Drosophila melanogaster: one gene and its partners. The protein of the gene in region 3 interacts with the protein of the main gene of each other region in a pairwise test. Each region holds a gene or a part of one and is shown on either strand. Other genes may lie near its edges.

The links. The genes of interacting proteins can lie anywhere in the genome.
Region 1: the proteins of CheB42b (region 3) and mew interact in a two-hybrid assay, tested with the Drosophila melanogaster proteins (one large-scale study listed by BioGRID).
Region 2: the proteins of CheB42b (region 3) and Tsp96F interact in a two-hybrid assay, tested with the Drosophila melanogaster proteins (one large-scale study listed by BioGRID).

The regions. Positions count from the first base shown.
Region 1 is NC_004354.4:13,252,195-13,260,893, forward strand, and holds the start of mew (multiple edematous wings), read right to left. Parts: upstream 4,990-8,699; 5' UTR 4,638-4,989; coding exon 4,423-4,637; intron 1-4,422. Other genes in the region: CG15742 (uncharacterized protein), read right to left, coding at 5,430-6,041; comt (comatose), read left to right, coding at 7,052-7,060, 7,142-7,230, 7,309-7,527, 7,601-8,699. UniProt on the Drosophila melanogaster protein: Integrin alpha-PS1/beta-PS is a receptor for laminin.
Region 2 is NT_033777.3:25,876,439-25,884,953, forward strand, and holds the start of Tsp96F (tetraspanin 96F), read right to left. Parts: upstream 4,990-8,515; 5' UTR 4,644-4,989; coding exon 4,578-4,643; intron 289-4,577; coding exon 94-288; intron 1-93.
Region 3 is NT_033778.4:6,940,962-6,947,776, forward strand, and holds CheB42b (chemosensory protein B 42b), read right to left. Parts: upstream 3,035-6,815; 5' UTR 3,026-3,034; coding exon 2,789-3,025; intron 2,723-2,788; coding exon 2,546-2,722; intron 2,386-2,545; coding exon 2,209-2,385; 3' UTR 2,135-2,208; downstream 1-2,134. Other genes in the region: CheB42c (chemosensory protein B 42c), read right to left, coding at 3,733-3,909, 3,980-4,156, 4,213-4,449.

The DNA.
Region 1 (8,699 bases), on a different chromosome or scaffold from region 3:
TGTCGCTCCTTTTTTTTTTTTTGTTTTGTCGCTTGGATTTCGCTGATCCTCTGCCGAAGCCCACTGATCTTTGGCCCATCCTCCGTCATTAAGAGATTGCGGTTGCCCAGCCCAGTGGGCAATTTGTCGGAGTTTCGAGCGGTGGCAGAGTGGAAGCGGTTGCCACATTTTCGGAGCTTATTGATTTATCGTTCGCTTAGGGACGCGATTCTTCGGAGGTCGCTAGCATCTTCAGTGCCCAGTTCTTCTAGTGGGCCGATTCTTCTCTTCACTTTAAAGAGCCCGAGGCGTGGGCTCTTTGATTTCTATGCGCAAAATCATCGTGAGCGTTTTTCTGATTTTTTTTTTTTTTCGTTTTTGCAACTTCGTGTTTAACCCACGCGGCCATGGGATTTTGTTTTTTATTTTTTTCCTCTTTGATTTTGATTCGGATTTGGGATTTCGAGTGGGGCCAGAAAGCGGCGGCTCTCCGCCCCAAATCTTCGCAGCTCTTCAGCGCGATTCTGCTGTGCGACTGCCATCCAATTGGCAATAAATCAAAGCCCACGCGCTTTTTTTTGCGCAGCTCCATGGAGTTGAGGCTGTGGCAACACTTTCGGAGCCTGGGGTCTCATTAGTTGCTGGCAGAAATTATGTTGCAAGTCTCTCGGAGTATCTGAATATCTGCGCCGTCTTGTATCTCGCCACTCGACAGCTGGCGGCTGCCCAGGCAAAATCGCAATCCCATTCGCAATCCCAGTTGCCAGATCGGTTTTCCGATGCGAATCCGAATAGGCCAGCCTCTTGTTTCCCACACCAAAATAGGCAATTTTTTATTTTGTTATTTTCTTATTTTCGTGTGCAGCATTAGGCTGTTCCTCTATTTTCTATAAATACGCATGCCAACTATGCCGCCTTCTGCTCCCCGGAAAATCAATTGAATTTTCACGCATGTTTATGGCCCGCTCAACGTTCCATTGAGCAGGCGGCTTCACTTCCACAGTGGGCACTCAGTATGACAAAAGTTTACAGATAGATAGATAAATATCTAAGCAATTTTCCTTAAGTGCTCTTAATGCTTCTTATATCACACATGCTGTATATTAAAACTAGGATCTTAAAACAATTTTGTCTTACTGTAAGTGTTCACTGTTGGCAAAAATGAACAAGTGAACTTTTCTCATGGATCTTGGCTGCCAGAAGTCGCACCCCCATCTCTTCCTTTTTTTTTTTTTTTTGCTTCGGCCGCCTTAGAAAAGTCGAAAAGTCCGCACTTAATGCCCAAAGATCCCTACAGAGAATCTATATGAACACCAGCGGTCATAAAAATAGTAAGCAGCTGATCGAAATTAAAGTAAAATCATTCATTTTTTCAAATACATTTCTAGCTTACATTTGTAGTTTAAATTATTTTAAAAATAATATTTCAAATAACTTTCTTGGCATGTAATACATTATTTGTAGTTTACATATATTAAATAATATTTAACTAAATTCCATGCATTTTTGTGACCTTCACTGTGGGTGCCAGTGCGCATATTTATGGCATACACACATGTCTGCCAGCTTACATTGCCTTAGCAAGTGTTTTTTGGCCATTTCCTTGTCGCTTTTCGTTTTCGCGTTTTTGGCTTCATTTGCTTACGAGTGGAAAAAATAGGAAAATGGTGGAAAAGGGGGTGCTGGGTGCGCGGGTAGATGAGAAATGGACTTTTGGGTTGGGTTCCCATATTTTTCTTATTATTTTATTTATTTTTTTTTTGTGTTGCTGGGCCTGGGTTAACTATTCAACTATTTGGCGGGAGACACACGCACCAGCAGCGAGTAAAAGAGCAACAACAATAACCATAAACTGTCGACCAGCCCCCAGTGGATAGCCCACCCCATTGAGCACCCAACCACCCAACCAACCAACCACCACCATTCCCCCCAACCTTTCCTTTCTTGCGACTGTTTGGCGTCTGTTGACCTCATTTCGCCGAAAAGTTTTTTAAGTTCTTTCTTAGTTTTTGTTCTCTTCTATATTTTTTGGCGCAAACAAGGAACACATGTTGTCGGCATAAACACAACCAGTGAGCTGTTCGCGATGCAGAAGAAGTATCCCACATGAGATACAACATCTACGAGATACACCGAATCTCAGAGATTTATTTACATGCAAGCGAGTTAAAATCGTGCTAGCATTTTCATACCATTTTCAATCTGCAATATATTGAGTATTCAGCGCAATGAAATTGTAGTTCATTAACAAAGCCAATCATTATTTAATGCCGATTGATTGAAGGTGCTAATTAAAAAAAGTCGCCTACATATATACACATTTTTTATGGCGCTGTAAATGCCACGGCAAGGGTACGAAAACAATTGTATAGCTTAATCGACCATCCTCAGCGGCTTATCTCAATTTGTACCATATCATCAAAGGTAATAATTGCGCCACGTAACCGCTGGTATATATGGCTGGTACAAAAAAAAAATTAAGATGGGCCAGCGATAAGCGAGTCACATTATTTGCATACGTACCTTTTTTTTCATTAATAAAACAAATATGCGACAATCGCAAAGTGCAAACAAAACTGAAAAACAAAAGGCGCGCAATAAACGAGCTGGAAATTCAAGTTAACTGTGCAATTCACTGCAGTTATCGGACTAGCCTTCGATGCGAAAAAAAACAGCAATTTCCGTTTGGATTACAGCTTCTTCCGATTTCAAGTGCGTCATTTAAAGACGCGATGCAGATTTAAGAAACAGCGTGGGTCACCACTTCTTGCCAAACGGGGTCACCACCATATAATATCACCATTACATTGAAGTTAAAGCTCAAAGTTTATCATGCATCTCATTTGCAAATTTATTTTTATTATTTTTTTTTTTTTGAAGGTCTATTGATTTTCAGTTGGACTTTCAATACGTGACATTTCGTTACTTAACCCAAATGACTCAGGCTGGTACACTTAGACTCGTCGGCCGATAAATGATATATATAAACATATATATGATAAGTATAATAATAATATCCCTTTCCCTTATTCGGGTGACCGAAGGAGAGGGCACTACTTGGCAAGAGAGAGAGAAGGGGAACATGACTTTTTCACGCCTACGTAGGCATTACGCACCGAGTGATAGCGATGGGGCATGCCGCGAATGGCACAATTTCTTTTTTTTTACCACAATACATGGTTAAGAAACCACACCATGTGGCGGGAATAACTCGATTGCCAGTTCAGTTGTATTAAATGTATTAAAATGTTAGCAACTCAGTTTTTTTCGCTGCAAATTGGCGCATCCAAGTCGCAGCTTGTATTGATTCCAGATTTGTTGTCTGCCCATTTTTATGGCCACTGGCCGTCTGGCTCCGTTTTGTCTACCGAGTTTGGTTTGGCCAATGTATCTATCTATCTATCTATCTATGTATTGCTTGTATTGTATATAGAGAATGCGAAAAGGAGTTGGCCAACTTATAAAGTCGCCAATACGAGACATTTAATGAGCACCAAGCCCTCGCCAAAAAGAATCTATGACAAATGCAAATAAATCCACATCCGCTTCAGTCGCAATAGTTCAAGGGTTTAACCCATGTCGGGGGAAACATTAAAACAATTCGTCTGTTCTTCGACCAACTATGCTTATCAGTTGCACAAAAATAAACAATCAAAACCATAAAATATCAAACAGGCAAATTCTCAGATAGTAAGGATGACAAATCGTTTAAACTGTTGAAATTCTTCAAATAGCAATTCGAAAAAAAAAAAAGAGAAACAAACAAATATAATATTTAACACTTATCTGCTGTCATTGCATTTGGCATATGCATTCAGTTTATTATGGTTTGTTTCGATTCGAAAAACATCTAAAACCTGGCATCATCTCTGGAAATACTCGATATTCAAACAATTTATGGTAATTCAACAATAAAAACACGATTTCAAACAAGTTTCGCGCATTAGCAAACTTTGATAGCCCCCCCCCCCCCCCTGAACAACAGCAACAAACACAGCGATTGCAATGCAAATTCTTCTTATTATTATTATTATTTTATTATTTGTTGTTGTTGTTGTTATTGTTCGTGTGCTGCTGATTAATAACAATCAATGCCAGTCAATTAAGCTGAAATCGATTTGGCGAATATAAAAACCTGTTTGCGCACCAACAAGATTCTTGGCGCGAATTTCCGATTCGGACACGAATTTGGATTTGGATTCTTCTCTACCTGTTCTTCAGCATTATTGTTTACCTAACATTTTTCTAAAGAAAAAAAACACAGCTGAGACAACAAGACACTTTTCGAATAAATCTTTTGGATGCAAGTTTAAAATTGATTGTTGAAAAATAAAAATATGCCTAAGCGTTTAAATGAACTGCAGATAATGATTCACTTTGGAAGTTCGCATACTTTGGACGCATCTTTCAGATACTTATCTATCCACTTAACTATCCACTTACCAGTTGGTCTTGTTGGGCCCATTGGCCTCGCCAATAGTGTGGGTGGCCACCGAGTAGCCGAAATGCGAATGCGGATGTCCGTACTTCACAATGGGCAATCGCTGTTCTAGGTTGAAATTGTAGCAAGTGAGAACGCATTGCAGGATTATCAGAATACCAAGATTCTGTCTTAGCCGGCAGTTGGGCCGTATGGTGGTAAACGGTAGCTCCAACATCGTTAATTTTATGTTTTTTTTTTTTAATATATATTTTATAAATATTTCGTGCACGTGCACCGAACACGGCAAAGTGATTACTTTTTCCTTTGCACTATTGCAAACAAAACAATGAACCGAAAAAAAACACGCACGCACACACACACACACACACTAAATCCGTTGAGATCTTTGGATCAACAGGTAGTCCACGTATTTTTCACTTTTGCTCGTATATTTCTTCGTTTCAGTCACACAGCAAAAAAAAAAATGATTATTACGTAAAGAATTAGACATTGATAGCGTGCGTTCGAAGCGGCAGATATTTTCTCTTCGCTTCGCCTTCTTCGACGGGCAAACGAAAAATAAAATGCTTCGCACAGAAGAGCTACACTAAGCTACTGAGCTACCATCGAACATGGTTCGAACATGGTTCGAACATACATGTGCGCTGTGCAAGCAGTGGTCAAACATATAGCAAGCAGACGCACAAGCAGTTCCACTACACTAGAGGGCTGGATAACATCATTCTCTTTGTTTGCAATTCGGGCAGCGCGGAGGTAAGTCAAAGTTTGTGTTTTGTTGTTGATATGTTATTTATTAATCTCGACATGCGTTGCACTCGATTAATTTAAAGTTAATATAGAAGTCATACGACATCAGAATCACTATGACAGTAGAACGTCTCAGTCCAGGTAGATGCTATCCAAAGAAATGTATATATATCCAAAAGCAAGGTAAAATATCACAGCAGCATCTTTAGTGACCATATTGATATACAAACAAATTCGACCAAATTCTAATTTGCTGACCTTAGCCGAAACGCCAAGTGCGCATATGGTTGATAACTTGATAACTTTTCGAAATGCGCATGCGGGCATCTATTGCAGGAGGATATGGGAGTGAAATGTCCCGAGCTAAACGGCGCTCCAACTGCTCATTGCGGCCGTTGAGCAAATTCTGCCATATCTGGGCCCGCTTATCCAACTGTTGAGCCTGCACGGCTATCCGTCCATAGGAAACGGGCTCATACGCCAGCTTCAGTTGATCGAGCAGATTGGTGAGCTCTTCAATGGCCTGCTGCAGTTTTCTCATGGCACTGTCATGCATGATGAACGTCTCATCGGCTTTGCTGCCGTATTGACATATATATTTCATCCTGACCCAATTGGACGACGCGATACAATTCTTGCGGCGCAATATTTGCATCTTTAGCATGTCCATAAGTATTTCGGCCAGATCGATGGGTGGCAACTCGGCGGGTATCACCAAGCGGATGGCAAAATAATTGGGCCTACTGTACTTGTCCAGGAAGGTGCTAATCACGCCGTCTTGGGCATTACGCACCGAGCGATAGGGCGGCTTAATGCCGCGAACTGCGCCCAGCAAGCAGTGGTCGATCTTATTGCATCGAACTTTTGACATCGAACCGCGGTTTGTCGTGTAAAAAGCGTGTTAGAAATGTGTTTTATTATACAAGTAAGCTGCAATGGCCGTGTTTGTTATCTAGAAACTTTCTCGGAATGGTAACATACGTGTGTACAGAAAGTTAGCGATTGGCATCGTCACTCACCGTCGTAGTACTGGTAAATTGATTTTGCTTCGTCGAACAGCCCGGCAGAAAAATTTTAAAAAATTATAAAATTTTGCTGTGTAAAAGTAAGAACGAGAACAAAATTTTGTTGTGCTCCCAAAAAAGTAAAAGTACTTAATTATCCGAATCAGGTAGCTACACTTAACTCAATGACTACTGGACGCTTAAATACGTAAACTTTCGTCTCTAAATTTCCTCGCACACTAGATTTGAATTTTCGTTCAGTCGGATATTATCGATAAATCGATTATTGTGGACCACGAATTTTCTGGTATAAATGCGGTAGCAATTTAAGACTTCTCTTACCGGAAAATCTTAAAAAATTAAATGATTACATTTTTTGTTAGTAAAAGCCCGGCGAGAATTTATTAATATTTATACATATACAACTTTTATATTAAAGAGCTCTCGAGCACTCTACCAATTTAAAAAATCAACCGCTTGCTTTATAAATTTAATTATTATTATTAAAAAAAAAAATCATGCAAATACGAGTCGTTAGTTATTAAACTTGGCAAAAGAAACGTATATTTAAAAACCAAATCCCATATGGATGTACTAACAAGTTCGCCAGCCCTGGATTCCTAGGCGCATGTGCTGAATAAAATTTTAGATCACATCTTCCTTGAAAGTTCAGAAAGGATATAGTTCACAATTCGTTCAAAAATTAATATATATATATATAGTTATGCTGTTTCAGTGATACTGTAAACAAATATCAAACGTTAATTCGCACACAAAGCTGCGTTTTCTGACCATTAAAGTACTTCCATTGGATTATAATTATTGATTTTTGTCAAATTCTAAACAACCCCGTGAAAATCAGCAAGAATCTAAAGAAATGGCTTATGTGAGTTTGAAATACCAATATTTATAGGCACTACGGCACTATTTTTGACTAGTTACTAAAGATTTATAATGGTTTCCGTAGATTTTGAAGGCCACCAAATGTCCCACGGACGAGCTTTCGCTGACCAATCGGGCTATAGTGAATGTTGGTGATTTTCCGGAGGAAATCAAGTATGTGGTCCTAACGGGCATAAAAGTCCATTGTTTGTATATATATATATATATAATTCCCACTTGCATCGCTTGCAGATATGCGGACATATCGCCGGCTCCGGGTCAGCACTTCATCTTTGCGCTGGAGAAAACGGTGGAGGTGCCCAGCGGCTATGTTGGCTTCTCCCTGGTCCAACGAAAGTGGGCCATGGTGTCCATTAATCAGGAACTGGAGGTTCGTCCCTATCGCTTTGATGCCAGCTCGGATGTCATCACTTGTGTGTCCTTTGAGACGGACTTTCTGCAGAAGAAGACGTGAGTGCATATATATAGTATACGGCGTCAAGGATATTATGTAATATCGATTGTTATCTACCATCCTATGCAGTGTCTCCCAGGAACCCTATGACTCCGATCAAATGGCCAAGGAGTTCATCATGCAATTCGCCGGAATGGCACTCACCGTTGGCCAATCACTGGTCTTCAATTTCAAGGACAAGAAACTTCTCGGCCTGGCCGTCAAATCCCTAGAGGCCATCGATCCCAAGAGCTTGGGCGAGGGCAAGGACACCGCGATGCGTAATGTCCGCTTCGGCCGCATCCTTGGCAACACCGTGGTGCAGTTCGAGAAGGCCGAGAACAGTTCGCTGAATCTGCAGGGCAAGAGCAAGGGCAAGGTGGTCCGCCAGTCCATTATAAACCCGGATTGGGACTTTGGCAAAATGGGCATCGGTGGCCTGGACAAGGAATTCAATTCGATATTTCGACGAGCCTTCGCATCCCGTGTCTTCCCACCGGAACTGGTCGAGCAGCTGGGCTGCAAGCATGTCAAGGGCATTCTACTTTATGGTCCACCGGGTACGGGCAAAACTCTGATGGCTCGCCAAATCGGAACTATGTTAAACGCCCGGGAGCCGAAAATCGTCAACGGTCCACAGATCCTGGACAAGTACGTGGGCGAATCGGAGGCCAATGTCCGGCGTCTGTTTGCCGAGGCGGAGGAGGAGGAGAAACGCCTGGGTCCCAACAGTGGACTACATATCATCATCTTCGACGAGATCGATGCCATTTGCAAGCAGCGTGGCTCCGTGGCCGGAAATAGTGGTGTCCACGACACCGTCGTCAATCAGTTGCTAACCAAAATCGATGGCGTTGATCAGCTGAACAACATTCTCGTTATCGGCATGACCAATCGCAGGGACATGATCGATGAGGCTTTGCTGCGACCGGGTCGCCTCGAGGTCCAAATGGAGATCAGCCTGCCCAACGAGCAGGGTCGCGTCCAGATTCTCAATATCCACACCAAGCGGATGCGTGAATTCAACAAGATTAACGACGATGTGGACAACAAGGAGATCGCTGCGCTGACCAAGAATTTCAGCGGTGCCGAGCTGGAGGGTTTGGTCCGTGCCGCCCAGTCGAGTGCCATGAACCGACTGATCAAGGCCGATGCCAAGGTGACCGTTGATCCTGAGGCCATGGAAAAG
Region 2 (8,515 bases), on a different chromosome or scaffold from region 3:
GCAATCATATGAGCGGAACCGTGTGGGCCACACATTTGCATGCATTTTAATTGGAATTCCCAGACACTGGTTATGATATTACTTTTCACTTACCGAAACCAGCAGACATTGCGACTCACGACAGACTCCGCAACAGCCAAAGAATGCGCCCAATGTGATCAGTATGCCGATGGCGAGGAAAACATACAGGGCTATGTGATAATGATTGTAGTTCTGTGTCATCGACAGCATAAATGTGGGATCCGTCAGCATCCAAACGGAGGTCACCACGATGGTCAGTCCGATGAGCTGCAAGCGAAAAGAATACAAAATATAGTAGAGCATTACCTATTTTTACACATTTTCGCTGTAATTCTCAAATTGTTGCATCCATCTCACGCTGGGCACACGCGTCAATGACGCCATCTGGCGGCAAGGCGGCAATTAAAGTGGGAGACTGCCCCGCCCAGTTTCGCCTTGCTTTAAACTTCTATAGTTTCATACATATGATGTCAGCTTAGTTGGACGCAGACTATATACATAGCAACTGCTGTTGCGCTTCTTTTAATTTAATTAAAGGCAGTAAACAGAAACCAAGTACAAATTACAATTTTCCCCATTCCATTCAATTTGTTAAAAAAAAAATCAGTAATTCTATCCAGTATACAGATTCAAAGGCAGCTTTTTGAGCTCCGAACTTTCAAAACCCGATAAGAAAAGGCCCATTAAGTTTGAAAATCAATGATGCGATAAAATTTGGTTTAAAGTTAAATTTTGGCCTTCATCGCCAAGACATACTGTATGTATATACATATAGAAGTGGCAAGACATTGATCCCAAGCGAGAATATGAGAATTGCGAGCTCGTGTTATCTCACTTCTCGGGTTATCAGCAAACGAAATATGAACTTTTCTTTGGATTTCCGCTAAAAGAATTCCGGTAATGTATTTCTTCTTAAATTTTCCTACCCAGATATTAAACACTAAACTTGCTATTGCCAATCCATCCACCAGAAAAATGTTGTTCCGCTCGTGCAATGAGTAAGAGAATCTAATATAGAGGTAATGACTTAATGGGTTGGTCGAGGTGTCTATGCAAGTTCATTAATTATTCAGCAAAATTATTCATCGCAGGGAAATTGAGTGTGCGATGAGAGCTAATCAAGAGATGTAAACAAGTGCACATATTACATGGGAAATATGTAAATTTAGAACCACTTAAGAACCGATGGCTAACTGAGAAGCATTTCCAAATACAAAACACTTCTTATCTCGTATTTTTTCTCAGCCCGCAAGCTTTTGTAATTGCCAAGAGCATCAGTGCTTTCCGATAAGATTACGCAGTGGATCTCGCAATAAGCAAATATCTATTTAACTTAAAGATACAGCAAAATATAAGATACAGTTTTTGGCGCCCAGGAAAAACGGATGAAAAAGCATGAGGAAGTCTCGTAAATTTCATGAAAATCTTATGAAATATAAGAGAAGCGGAGACCGGCTTTTATGTGGGTGGTCCACGAAAGAGAGAGCTGCCATAAAGTGAGCGAGACAAAAAGTGTGCCACAAAGTGCACGATATGCTGGCCCTAAAGTTCATGAATGTGCATGTGTGCAGCTAACGGAAAAACTACTCATGGAAACGTAATACAATGTTGCCCCATTCGAGGGCAGTTTATTGAGTAAGTACATTGTAACCAGAAGCCCTTGTTTGCATAGATTTTACTTATTTTTCCAGGTCAGGTTTTCGGGTATGGATCAGTAACATAATCTTGAATTTGTTCATGTGTTGAATTAAAAAAAAAAATGTTTCTGAAGAAGAGGTTTATTCCTAGAGCTCTTATAAAGTATGTGTATGTATATACTACTTTGGATAAACCTCAATTCCCTTATCCTTTTAGGGAACAAAAGTTGACCTCGTTTTGAATCAGTCCCATTATCCCTGAACGAACTGAATCCACGCCTTGTTTGTAGCTCTGTTTGTTGGAATTTTTACGATTCCCCGAACGTTTTCACACACATATATTTTTACACATCTGACACTATGTCGCGTGTCCAGGACAAACAAACAAAAATCCTGCCGAATGGGCCAATAAATGTACAGAGTCCTTCGTTGACCCAGTTTTCAGAGCCGAGGCGTCGAAAGCGGAAAACGAGAGAGCATTTTACTGCTGCTAAATTGCAAAAAAAAAAATAAAATGGGGCCAAAAGGCAGCTGGGCTTGCATTGCATGTCCAGTCACAGTTTTGTCCCACAATTAACCGCATCGATGGCAAATCGCAGCCAACAGCCATCATGCATCAGCCATAAGCTGAAAATACAAACTGAAAAATGAATGAAGCGCCACTCATGAATAATTGAGTGAAAAATAGCACAGCGAATTAAGTATGTAGATGTGACATGTCACAGCGAATTGAAAATAGATACAGGCCAGCTTCGTTACTTGGAGAAATATTTTTAAATATTATTTTATTCACAGCAAAAGATTACATTTTTTTCAGGAATTTAAGAATTCTGCACTATGGAAGTCTGACTGTGCTGAAATAAATGGTTTTTTTAGTGGGTGGACAGGATAGGATTGTCAGATGGTCGACCGAATATTTGGAAATCTTTCAGTTTTGGTCACTGTCAACTTCAATGACGACAGCGCCGGCCGTTTAGCATTTTAGACGCTTATGGCATAGGCCTCCCCCAGCATCTTGGATGTGGGATATCGGCCCCATTGGAGCGTCAGCGTCCTCAGAGATCGTGGCGTTTGATCACGATGCCCCACGGCGACGATGAAAATGGAAATGTTTGGAAATCGATGCACAGTGGAGAGCGAGATTCAAAACTAATCGGACAGTGGTCATTTTTTGCGAAGTTATATAAAAATACTATTATTAAATTTATTATGGCTTTGTGGGGTAATTGATAACATGCCCTGGCTAAGAATAGCCTCAAAACAATGTATAAAAAGTCTTATATAAAATAATATCTGACGCACTTTCATCCATAAATCGCTCTAAAAATAGTTCAAACGATTAGTGAAACGAACTGCATCACAAACACATCACAATTTCTATCGCTCATTGTTCCTCCACTGAAATCAAACACACCACTGTGCATCCAACAACAACAACGATGAATACTAAAACATCACAGATCAAGGAACATTACACAGAAACCAATTATTGGATATAATCTTATTGGGATCGGTTAATTTTAATTTTTTTTACATGACATATATACAATAAACGAAAAATAATTGAAAGGTATTCGAAAGTTTCCAAACACGAAACTTGGCTAGGCATCAGTATTTTCTTTCTGTGTACAACAACGAAAAACTGAACGGACGCGTAAGTTTGTGTTGTTCCTCGCCCGTATTCGAAAATAGCTTTTGACTAATAAATACTATAGACAGAAATCGAAAAAAGGCAGCAACAATCAACAAACGAACGAAAAAAAAATTAGAAATCAGCCCGCATAAGAATCAAAATTTTAAATTTGTTGCCCAAAGGAAAAGCGAAACTGATTTCGCAAGCCGCGGAAGACAAGAGGAAACCCCAAGAAAAACTCAAGGAAACTCAAAACAAACGCAAACAATCGCTGTGGCAGATAGTAATTGAATGGAAACAATTGAAAGCCTAACGAGGCTATGTTGAAAGTCGAAAATTGCGTAAAACAACAAGCAGATAAGTTGGCCAAAGAAAGTAAAACCCTTTTTTTTGGGGTGAGGAGAGGTCCTTTTTTACCGAATTAAGCCAACCGAAGTTTGTAAAAATATCAACGGCACGTATACGTTATAAAAATAATAAAACAAAAAAAGAGAGACAGGAAGAGACAGAAGCAAAAGAAAAACAACTGAACAAACATGTGGAGGGAAAAGAAAACAGTGGGAGGTGGGAATGGAGATGCTTAAATGTTTATCTGTCTGTGTGTGTGTGTGTCCCCTCCCACAACGGAACTTCTATTGTTTTTATGCGGGAGTACGAGCAGAGCGGTAGGGAGTGCGAGCGGGAGATGGAGAGATACAGTGATGTCGCTTTTAAAAGCCAGTTGAAGTTTTGAAGTTATAAATGGTAGAAAATAATTTAAAGTCAAATAGTTCATAACAAACAAAACCGATTTGTTTAATTTCAAAAAGAAAAACCCTTCTATTAATGTTTTTAATTAACCGCGTACTTGAATATTTATATAATCTTGTCCATTTAATGTTTTTAAGCCCGCTCATTAAAAAAAAAATATTTAAGTTAATATATTATTATATTTATTTTATTATTTATTTATTTATATTTTTTACTTCCTTTTCGATTAAATATTTCAAGCCGTACTTAAATAAGTTTCAACTTATGTTTTGGGCACCTCTGGGATCGAGAGAGTGGAAAGAGGGACTGAAAGAGCGGTAGGACTCCAAAGAGCGTGCGCACGGCTCCTCCCTCCGCCCGCGCGCCAAGCGTGAGAAAGAGGGGCGTAGGGAATACACAACACACACACATTCGCTCACGCAACACCCACACACACGCGCGCGAAAAGGAGGTCCGTGTGTTCCAGTTGTTGTTGTGATGGGAGAGAACCGAATCTCGCATTGTTGTTGTTGCTGCTGCTGCTGGAATCTACATACCCAGAATAAAATGTTTATAAGGACCATCAGATATTTGACGCACGAACAGCAGCCGTTGAGACCCATGGCGCGGATTGATATTCTTAAATAGGTAACTCCTTAAAAAGTAGCTGCAATTTAACTGGTTTTTCAACCACTTGGAGATGCTCTTTTTCCAAGGAACCCCGAACTGCAGTGTCGCCTGCACTTTTCGACCTTTTGCACTTTTTCAAAACACCCGCTCGATTGTACTATATTTTTCAAATTTTTTTAAAATTTCCCGTGCTAAAATCCACCGATTTGAGCCACTGTTTGCGCGATTGGCCGTTGCACCCGATTTGTTTTAAAAATTTTATTTGTGCATCGAGGCGTCCGTCCAACGTAAAATTCTTGTATCAGTGCGACCATTAGCTCGGCCGTTCAAATATACCAGCGGGTATAGAAAGGCTAAAAACCGAAAAGTGGTGACCCTTAGAAGATACCAAAGAAGTGGTTGAATAACTTTGATGAGGCTTAGCATGGCTTGCAACCTGCTTGGATTTGCAGCCTATACGCAAACCAAAGTGGCCTATCGATATTTTGGATAAGTTCTATTGCCAATTTTCCCAATAAAATAAAAACTTCACTTGAATGTTAAAAGTAATTTAGTTTCAGTGTTTACATAATGTTCAAATAACCTTTTGATTGTTATTATGAAAGTTAAAAATTAAAAATTTAGATATTCTAACTAACTATTATCCCCAATGTTTCAGCTATAATCACCATATTTAAAGTAGATTTCATTTTAAAGTATAAATTTGTGGTTGTTTACATTATTTTAACATGTCTATTTAATTATTACTATGAAAGTGGGTAATTGAAAATTAGGATATTCCAGGTTTTTGATTTACTTTGGCTATGATTTTCCCAAAATATTTAAATCTGTAAATGTAAACAGTTTGAAATGTGACCTTAATAGTTCATGCTTTGTTCATTCTTCTGCGAAACGGTCACACTGTTCGCGCAGGCGAAAATGGCCTAAAGCGTGAAATGTTTAATTCGTTGTTGTTTCTCCTCCGCAATAGTTACTAATAGAAACAAATGCAAAATGGCTGTCTAACGTTTAAGTGCAGCGACCGCCGAAGATCGTGGAAATATGCATGAAAAGCGGCTCGCAGGCAAATGAAAGGCGCGTGAAAATGTAGCAGACACCTTTTTATCGCGAAAACGAACATCGGTGCAAAGGGAAAAACAAAAACCAAGGAAAATACAGCCAAACGCGAATGTGAATGTGAAGGCAAAGTAAGCGAAAAGTCCCCCAACTTTTTTGGGGAGTATCGAGTGCACCACATACGTTTTTCAATATATATTTCGATTGCATTGAAATCAGAAACATGACAATTTCCCCCCTTCCCTTATTGCTGTTGTTGTTGTTGTCGGCTTGTTGCAAGTTTGTGTGAGTGTGTCTTGTAATTTTGTTACGCAGTGGAGCGAAGTTGGAGTTTTGTGGAATGGAAATGGAATGAAGTGGAACGAAGTGGAGTGTAACCAAACACGAAATGGAAAAACGAGGAAAAAACCTTAAAGCGCAGCCTAAGCTTTAGTCGTACTGAAAATTTCTCAAGCGCTGCAAGCCAGTCTTTGCCAAAGTAAAGCCCCTACCTCCCCCCCCCTCTTTTTGCATAATAAACGAAAAACGTTGCGCCCACTTTACGCACTTGTTTTTATGCTTTCCGCGTTCAGTGCACTTAAAAACTTAATTGGTTCCCCCGTCGGCGGTGCTAATGTAGCGCATTTCACTGTTTTCAACGTAAATATAATTATATTAGCAAACGTTTACAAGCAAGATTGGATTAGTAATATGTAGTAGCTTGCTAGAAATCCTAATAAAAATGTGAATAATAATATATACGGTTTCATTTAATATTTTGAAAAGTTTTAATAGAAAAAAGTACAGCTTTTCTAAAAGCTACCCTTATATTGTGTTTCTTTCTCACGAAATAAACTACTGTGTAGAAGGTAGCGGTAAATATTTATGTTTAAAGTCCACTCTCTTCTATGTTAGAGGTATACCCCTCGCCCCTTGGCCACTGCGAATGCTGTATCTTCGCCAATTTCACTTTCACATTCGTCGTGGGCAGTTACAGCGAAGCCAATTGCTTGGTACTTCTTTTATTTTGTTTTTGTTCCCCACTTTGGGGCGTTTCAAATTAGAAAGTGTTTGCGTGTGTGTGTGCGCATATGTAAGTTTATGCGTGAGTGATGCGAGCGGCGTTTTCTCAATGATTTTGGCTAATTATGTAGCTCATTTTCGATAACCGCTTTAAACTGTGAAAATTGTGTCAACTTTGGATACTGTAACTTTACACCCGCCACATAATTTCATTTTAATTAGCGCTCGTTAACAGTTTTCCATCTCCCCTCTCCATTTTGTCGCCCTCTTGAAATTGCAATGTGTGGGAAACTTAATTTGTTGCATCTAGGAGGTGAAAGAGGGAGATAGAAACTGTGGGAGACGAGAAAAATTAAATGAACAACACTAATTCAAATGCAAAATGAAATGTACAGACACAGATACAGTTGTGTAACAATTGTTAATTAATTAACAGAAACTTTTAAACTCAATTTTTGAAAGACATGAATATTGAATTCTATATCAGGATTATTTAAAGCACTAAGCAAAGCGTAGTTAAAATGGATTAAACCTGTTTTCAAATATAAAATGAGAAGAAATGTGGGTTATTTGGGCTCAAACAAGTTTTAATTAACCTGTAAAAATACGTGACATTTTGTATATTTCTTGATTTCGGAGCTTTAAAGAATCCCTATAAATTTGGCCATCGCTTCATTTATACATTATTACATACATATGTACATATGTACGAATTTCAATCATTTACATTCCGCACACAAACATGAAAAGAGACACCAATACACATGCACCTACATTTGCCAACAGTCAACATAAATTAGTGCGAGCAACGGCACTTGGCAACATGCAACAATAGCAACAAAAGCGACATGATTGAAGCAACAACAACACCGACCAAGGAAGTTGCCAACTGTCCCGCTTTGTCTCTCTTATTGTCATTCGCAACTATCCCGCTCTGTCTCCCTATTGTCATTAGCGAGTTAGCAGAGCGCCGCTCTAATAACAGCGCCTTTACATTTCCATTTGCCAAGTGCAACAACCCTGCGTGGGTGTATGAGTGCGTTGTGTGTGTGAAAATACTATAGAATTGGTGGCAATAACAATGGAAAACTGGCATCGTGGAAAACTGGGTAACGCTTTTATAATTTATTCCAATTTTAACTGCTTTTTACGGCCTTCTTCTTGTCTGTTAATTGTTGTTATTGCTGCCTGTAAATCCCATGCGGACAATCTGTTATTTTCTCACACCGGTTGTTGTTATTATAATTTCCCTACACAGAAAACAAAACGTGTTCAATTTAAAAAAAAACGTTTCTTATTGTTTTAGAGATATCTATTTGTGAAATATGGAAATTTATGATGAACGTTTTTGATAATTATTTTAATAAAATTAACTTTCAAAATGATGTGGTATAATATTTTTCTCTGTTTCTTCACTCAATGTCTAGAAAGGAAAGGTGCATTTGTAGCTTTAAATAAGAAATGGGGAAATAAAATATAATTTCTATATATAGACAGAGTCCATACATGTGTATGTTTATATGATATGTCTGGACGCGTTTTTACCGCTATTTTTAAAAGTGTAAAGGTAAACATTCTTCCAAAAACAACATTGCGTTTTCCGCAGTTTCTGAGTTTTATTTTCATTACATAGTTTATTGCCTTGAAATAGGGGGTCAGTTACAGGAGTGTGATATATTCATTAATATTTAAAAAAAAAAAGCTATAATAAACAAATTAAAAATGCAGGAATGACATTTGCAGTTTATGAATGTCATATATAAACATTTATTAGTTTTCTATCCATTAGTTTAAATGATGTTCAATT
Region 3 (6,815 bases):
ATTGGGAATTCGTTCGTTTCAAGTTAAGGCAAAAATACAAATACTATTGATAATAACACTTTAAGTACTTTTCTCGTGATATCACCATCGTATAGATTTAAATAAATTCAAAGAATGTGATGTGTGGGATGATAGAGAAATCGAGGAAAATCAATAAATATCCAAGAAAAATCGCGACAGAATAAATTCCAAAAAGACCAAAAGCGACCAAAATTTTTCAAAGCCTATAAGCTGATTTTTTCAATGATTGAACCACGTTTCCAAGACGCGGCCCACATGCAAATTATTATTGTTTATTTGTTGCAAAACCATTTTTTGTGTGCGACAGCCGACCGCCAGCGACAGCTTGATAAGCGGTTCTTGCCTCGCATGCGTGGGCAGCGTCTTGTCGGCGTTTTGTGAATGAGCATTTTGTAGTCGTGGAGCGATATAGCCACCACCAATAAGCCAGCCATCCACTCGCGGGCCAAAACACGCGAAGCTGTCATTACGTTGACCAGGCCCAAACCATTCGCGTCCGCGTTGGCGTGGATGTTGTGTTTCGTGCTAGCGTTGGGAGAGAGCTCAGCTGGTCCTGATCCCAGTGTTCGGGCATCGCCTTATGAATGGGCGAGTGGAGCTGGATTGCCTAGCAGCCAGACGCATAGTAAAAGTGCCGCAGCTAACAAAACCCCTTTTCAACTTAATTTCAAGATCCATTTAGTTAGCTACTGAAATTGTTAAATGTTTGTCTTAGCGGTGGTTTGAATGCATTTACTTTTTATTCATTGTCCTCATATTTCTAGAGTATTTACTGTTTACTGTTTAGTAACCAGTCATCGAGCTGAAAGATCTCGTTCCCGCCAGTTCGTGGTTGTATTCAAAACACTTTCCAGTTTCCGTCAGACATCGAAATCGAGTCTAAGCGCAGGGGAAGACAGCGAGTGCAATGGACGTGGTGCATCCATGCACATATAGTACACCACAACCGCTCCATGTGTATCCATTTATCTTGGCAAGCCAACTCGGCCGGGAAGTGAGCTAGACACCTAAAAACCCACAATTTATGCCAGTCAGAGCAAACTGGAAAAGTTCACACAACCACCACGAGGAGACCCACACCCATGCACACAACACACAGCTAACAACAAACGTGTGGCTGGCATTATAAACTCTTGATCTTTCCAATAGCCTACAAAGGCTGCCCACACGGACCGGCTCTCCAGCTGGTTCACAGCCCCATTCATGCTGCAATTTTGTTGCTATTTCGGTGCTGCTCCTCGATAAGGCCCCAAAGATTCCCAGCAGCGGCTAGGTGGATAGAGGCGGAGATGGCCAAAAAAAACGGGTTCAGAGCCATGCCGTCGCCACGTCCTACATTGCCAGCTTTTTGGGTTGGCGAACAAAGCCACTGCCTCCAGAAAGAGCCGTTTCTTATGCTAAATCCAAGAGCCTGCCTGCGAAGCAGAAGTCCGCACTGATTGATTTTCTATGAGGTCCGACGTACCATATACTATATAGTATAGTGAGTGCCCGCGGCCATAATTTCGGCTTTGGCCAGATGTTGACTTTACCGGATTGCCCGGAGCGGCCTGCACAATCGTGCGCTGCTAATTTGCACCTAAAGACGGTCTTTGTTTCTGGCTCTTCGGTTTAGAAAGTAGAAAATTATTCGCCGGGAATATGAAATGAAAGTGTTCCGAGGCTTACCTCCCTGCCGTTTAAAAGTTTTCGCAAATCTGTAAGAAACATTTTCCGTGAATTGGCAAGAGCTTTGCAAATTGACAAATCGATTGCTGCGATTTGAATCGATCGGAACTTATGCCAATCATCATCGGGTAATCCAATAACCGACAATTGTATTTGCATATTCCCCATCCAGCAACGGCAGTCATGACCCCAAAAAAATGCAGTCAGTATACGGTTCTCCTTTGTCTGCACGTCGTTACCCGAGAAGGTACTTGCCACACGCAGCTAGCCGATATGGAAACCGCAACTTGAACTCAAGTTGCCGTCAACGCGTGCCACCAACCACAAAACAAAACGAATCAAGAAGTTAACTGATTGGGGATATGGAAGGTAAAACAAGCCCCTAAAGTTATGAGATCTGTTAAAACACGATGCAATGTTTAAATTGTTATTGAATGTAGGAATTAAGAACACTATGTTTAATATTATACAATATTGAAAAAAAAAATACACATTCAACAAAATAGTCTATTGTTCCAACTACTGCAACTTTAGTGGTTCTCCTATGATCTCCAAACAAATTGGGTTTGGGCGCGGTATATTCCTCTCATCTAGTGCGTTAAACAATATGACAAGTTTATGACGTCCTCTAAGAAGAGGTCCACGAAAATTCTCAAATTTTAGTATGAGATCGAAGGGCTCGTGTACCAGAACGGTCTGTAAGAAATCAGAATATTTTCAAAATATTGTGCAATAAAAAATGGTAGTGTCCTTTGCACACAACCATATGAATAATCTGCATCCCATATGAGAACTATTCCCATATGCTATTATATTCCACCGTATTTGGTTGTCAAATTGCTTGAACTCCACTTACATCAGGCCCTCTGAAGCACTTCTTTTCCACCTCATGGCGATTGGTTATAAACCTTGTCCAATACTTATACCAATACTGGTTCTTGTCGTACATGATGGAGCAAAAGTTCTGGGTGGCCATGCTAAAGACAGTGGGCTCCCAAGTGCCGCGGTTGAAGTGAAAAACATCAAGTCTCGCCTACACGGATGCAAGAGTTTTGATATTAGAATCGATGATTATTCCGAAGCTTGCAGTTTGTGTTACAGTAATCCGATCGGTGGGCTGCACATCCCACACGACGGTGGCGTTCCCGGATACATGAAGTATATCCCCTTTCTGGTCGATTACAATGTCGTCTAAGTTGAGTGCCTGGCGGATGTTGATGGATCCGGGAGGACCATCAGTGCACGTCGAAAATATGTCCGGATCCTCGAGCAATAATTCATAGTCTGTGGCCCAGGAACTGGTCACTCCTAATAAGAGTAGCAGCACAAATATCATGATGACCATAGAACCGAAAACTGTGAGATCCGACCCCTTTATAGCCACTGCCACAATAGAGTTTTTGATATGTTTTATTTATACACCTTTTAAAATGATGACATCTAATCATGGTATGCCATCGTACATTGATTCAACACGCAACAATGTAACAACCATCTCCTGTTAATCAGACGTTGTCAAACTCTAACAATATAATTGGCAAATCACGTTATGTGACCCTTGAAAATATTCGTGCTTAAACATTGTAAAACAAGATGTTTTAATAATAATAACTTTTGGGCTAGAAAAAAAAACAAGTTTGAAACAAAAAACAAATTCCCCAAAGATTTTCTTGGCGATCACATATCCGTGTGGGCGTGACAGTTTTGGGCGGTTTTTGGTCGTTAGAGGGTGTGGTAGAGTAGGCGTGGCAATCTTCTGAAAGTACTTCTCTATAATCTGCATCCCTTATCTTATCAATATAGCTTTTATAGCTCCCGAGATCACATACGGGCATAAGGTTGATCAAACGAAAAAAAAGGTTCGCGTCACCTGTTACACACTTTGTACCAAATCAAGTACATATATCAAGTTCAGAATAGTTGATATATTTTATTTATATTTATATTTTTAAGATTGCTTTTTATTTTCAAAATATGTAGATATTGGGTTTATATTGTTTTTTAGGTTACTGATATCGCGCCTTGAACAGATTAAGCCCTTAATTAATTTATCTTCTCGGCCTCTCCCCTGATTTCGAAGCAAATGGAATTACGGCGTGGCACATCCTTCTCATCGACCGCCTCAAAGGTGACCACAGCTTTGTAACGACCCCTGAGAGTTGCACCACGAATGTCCGTTAGACGCAGCTGCAGATCGAATGGATTGTGCATTATAACGGTCTGTAATGGAATCCCAAGGTTAAAGTCACCGCGCCAGAGATGGACTGTTTTGTTTGCAGGGAAAACTCACACCACGCGTTTTAAAACACTTCTCCATCACCTCATCGCGGTTCGAAATGTGTTTGGTCCAGTACTTAAACCACGACTGATTCTCATCAAACATTGAGGCGCAGAAGTCCGGCGTGGCCATGCTAAATACAGTCGGTTCCCAGCTGCCGCGGTTGTAATGCATTATTGCAAACCTGGCCTTAAAAGCAATTGTTTATTAATAATCTTATTTCGTATAAGGAATGCGGGCATTACGGATATGCGATCTGTGGGCTCCACATCCCAGATTGAGGTGACACTCTCGGACAGGTGAATGATGTCCATGTCCTGGTCGACTACCAGATCGCCAATATCGAAGGCATCGTGGAATCCAATCGATCCCGGCGGCGGTTCAGTGCAGGGTGAAAAGATATCAGGGTCCTCCAGCAACAGCTCGTAGTCTGCGGCCCAGGAACTAGCAAAGCCAAATACGAACAGCATGAGAGTTCTCATGATGACAATAGTATCACCTGGTGGGATGAGACCCTTTTATAGTACTTGCCATCATGATCTCTTCTATCATTGCTATCATGTCATCATGTATCCACTCGACATGCAACAAAGTTACAACCATTTTGTTTGCCAGACATTATTTTAAATCGACATTTAAAGCAAGAAGCTCACTTCAACCATAACAAGTTTCGAGGAAATCAGTGCCAATGAAAATAGTCCTTATTAAACGATCAAAACAATCATTCCTGTTAATCTTATATTTATTAAGATATATAAGCTAAATACTAAAGGTTTTAGCCATTAGCATAACAACTTGTATGCCAAATAGGCATTTAGATTGTTATACTTGTAAAAGTATAACCTTTTGTTCTTCTTGAATTCAATGCTAAAATCTTTGTAGGCTCCTTGATTAAATTAAATTTTTACTTTTTTCATCGAAAATTAAACGATTTCATAAATTCCGTAACTATTTTGCATAATTGGGTGCGACAACTACACACCTACAACAAGTCAAATGGACACTTTCCGCAATTTAATCACAGCTTGTGAATCACAAGTGCAATTTCATATTCATTTTAATTAACTAGCCTTGGATTGCTGTTGAAGCTGACATCATACATGCAGAGCACTCGGCACAGTTCAAAACACCAAGTAAGCTATGCACATCAGTCGTTCCACATTAACAGAGGGAACAGCATCTAGAATTGTTCCCGCAAAGTTATTTATGGAATAATGCAAAGTAATTAATACAACTAAGATGATTCTCATGCTCTCCAATTGTTTGTGGAGTCTGAAGGGGAAATGCATTCCGCATTCTTGTCTGATCTCAGATTTCACTGTCTCCATGTGGGAGGAAGCAGGCATATGGAACGGGTTGCAATGGTGACCTGCGTCAAGATCTAAACAAAAAATGATTTGTATATTTTATCCATTTTTTCCGAACATAGCAGCTAGACATAACAATTGTACACATTAACACAATTGTTTTCAAAGCTTAAGGACCTTGCTCCACATATGAACTGAATGATGGCATCCTGTCCACATCCTGTTCGGTGCCACAGTGAACTGCCACTTCCAGTTGAGATTCAGCCTTGAAATGGCTTTCAGACTTTTCAAACGCGCCAACGCTAGAGGGACAGGGGGAAGCTCACGGGGCATTGTTATAGAAATGGAAACAGCTGCGAGTGCTGCCATAAATAAAAACTTATTAGGTCTTGTCGATGGTATTTCACTATATAGTAACTCGTCTATAAATAAACAAAACATAGAAATTGACTTTCGTCTTATAGCCCACGCAACCCCAGGCGTAAGCCAAACGCACAGAATCGAAAAGTTCAATGAAAGCAATTAGTGAACATTTTTAATAAAACTATTTTCTAAATATAAAAAAGAAAATTCGCCCAACGTGGGGCTCGAACCCACGACCCTGAGATTAAGAGTCTCATGCTCTACCGACTGAGCTAGCCGGGCACTTGTGAAGATCGCCGATAAAAGCTCACATTTGCTGATTAAGCTTAAGAATCATACAAATTGATATAAAGAGAATTTAAAGGATCAAAATATTACCAAGAGAGAATCAATAGCCTTTTAAAAGTAGCCAAAGAATTGTCGCCAATTAGCTTGCAACAAATAAGTTTAGGCCCAAATTTACTTTACATAAATTACATTGACAATATAGAATATTTATCGTAAATATTCAACTCATAACAAAACAAGAGAAAATGTTTTAGTCTAGTTTCCCGACTATCAGATACCCGTTACTCAGCTAGTGGCAATGTCAACTAGAAATTTCCTTATTTTTTCTGGCTTATCGATTGATATTGGGGAATAATATGAGAAAAACATAAGAAAATGGTCGCAAACGCTTCCTTCTGCCTGGTACATACTTTTTAACGAATATAGTATAAGCAAAGACCCTAGAATTCTAGTGTTATTATAGTAAATTCTAGTTATTCTAGTGTCTTTGGTATACGGGTATAAAAATTATAAATTACTTCTATAAACACATTGCTAAATATGAGAAAGCATATTTATACATGCGCATATAAGCCGGATTAAAGGCAACGGGCGCTTTGCTGTCAAACCTAGAAACATTGTTGTAATACCTTTAGCCTTTTGTTTTATTCGAAATGGTTATGCAGATTCACAAGATGCATTTGTATCATATATACACAAACTATTTTTAGCTTCCAAATTAATTGGGACTCATTTTAGGCAAATTAAATATGCTTAATAATTTTCCAATTAGTAAAAAATCAATTGCCGAAAGTGGAGCTCAAAAAATGTTTATTAATTGTATATTAATTTTGAATTAAAATAAAAAACATCGCCCAACGTGGGGCTCGAACCCACGACCCTGAGATTAA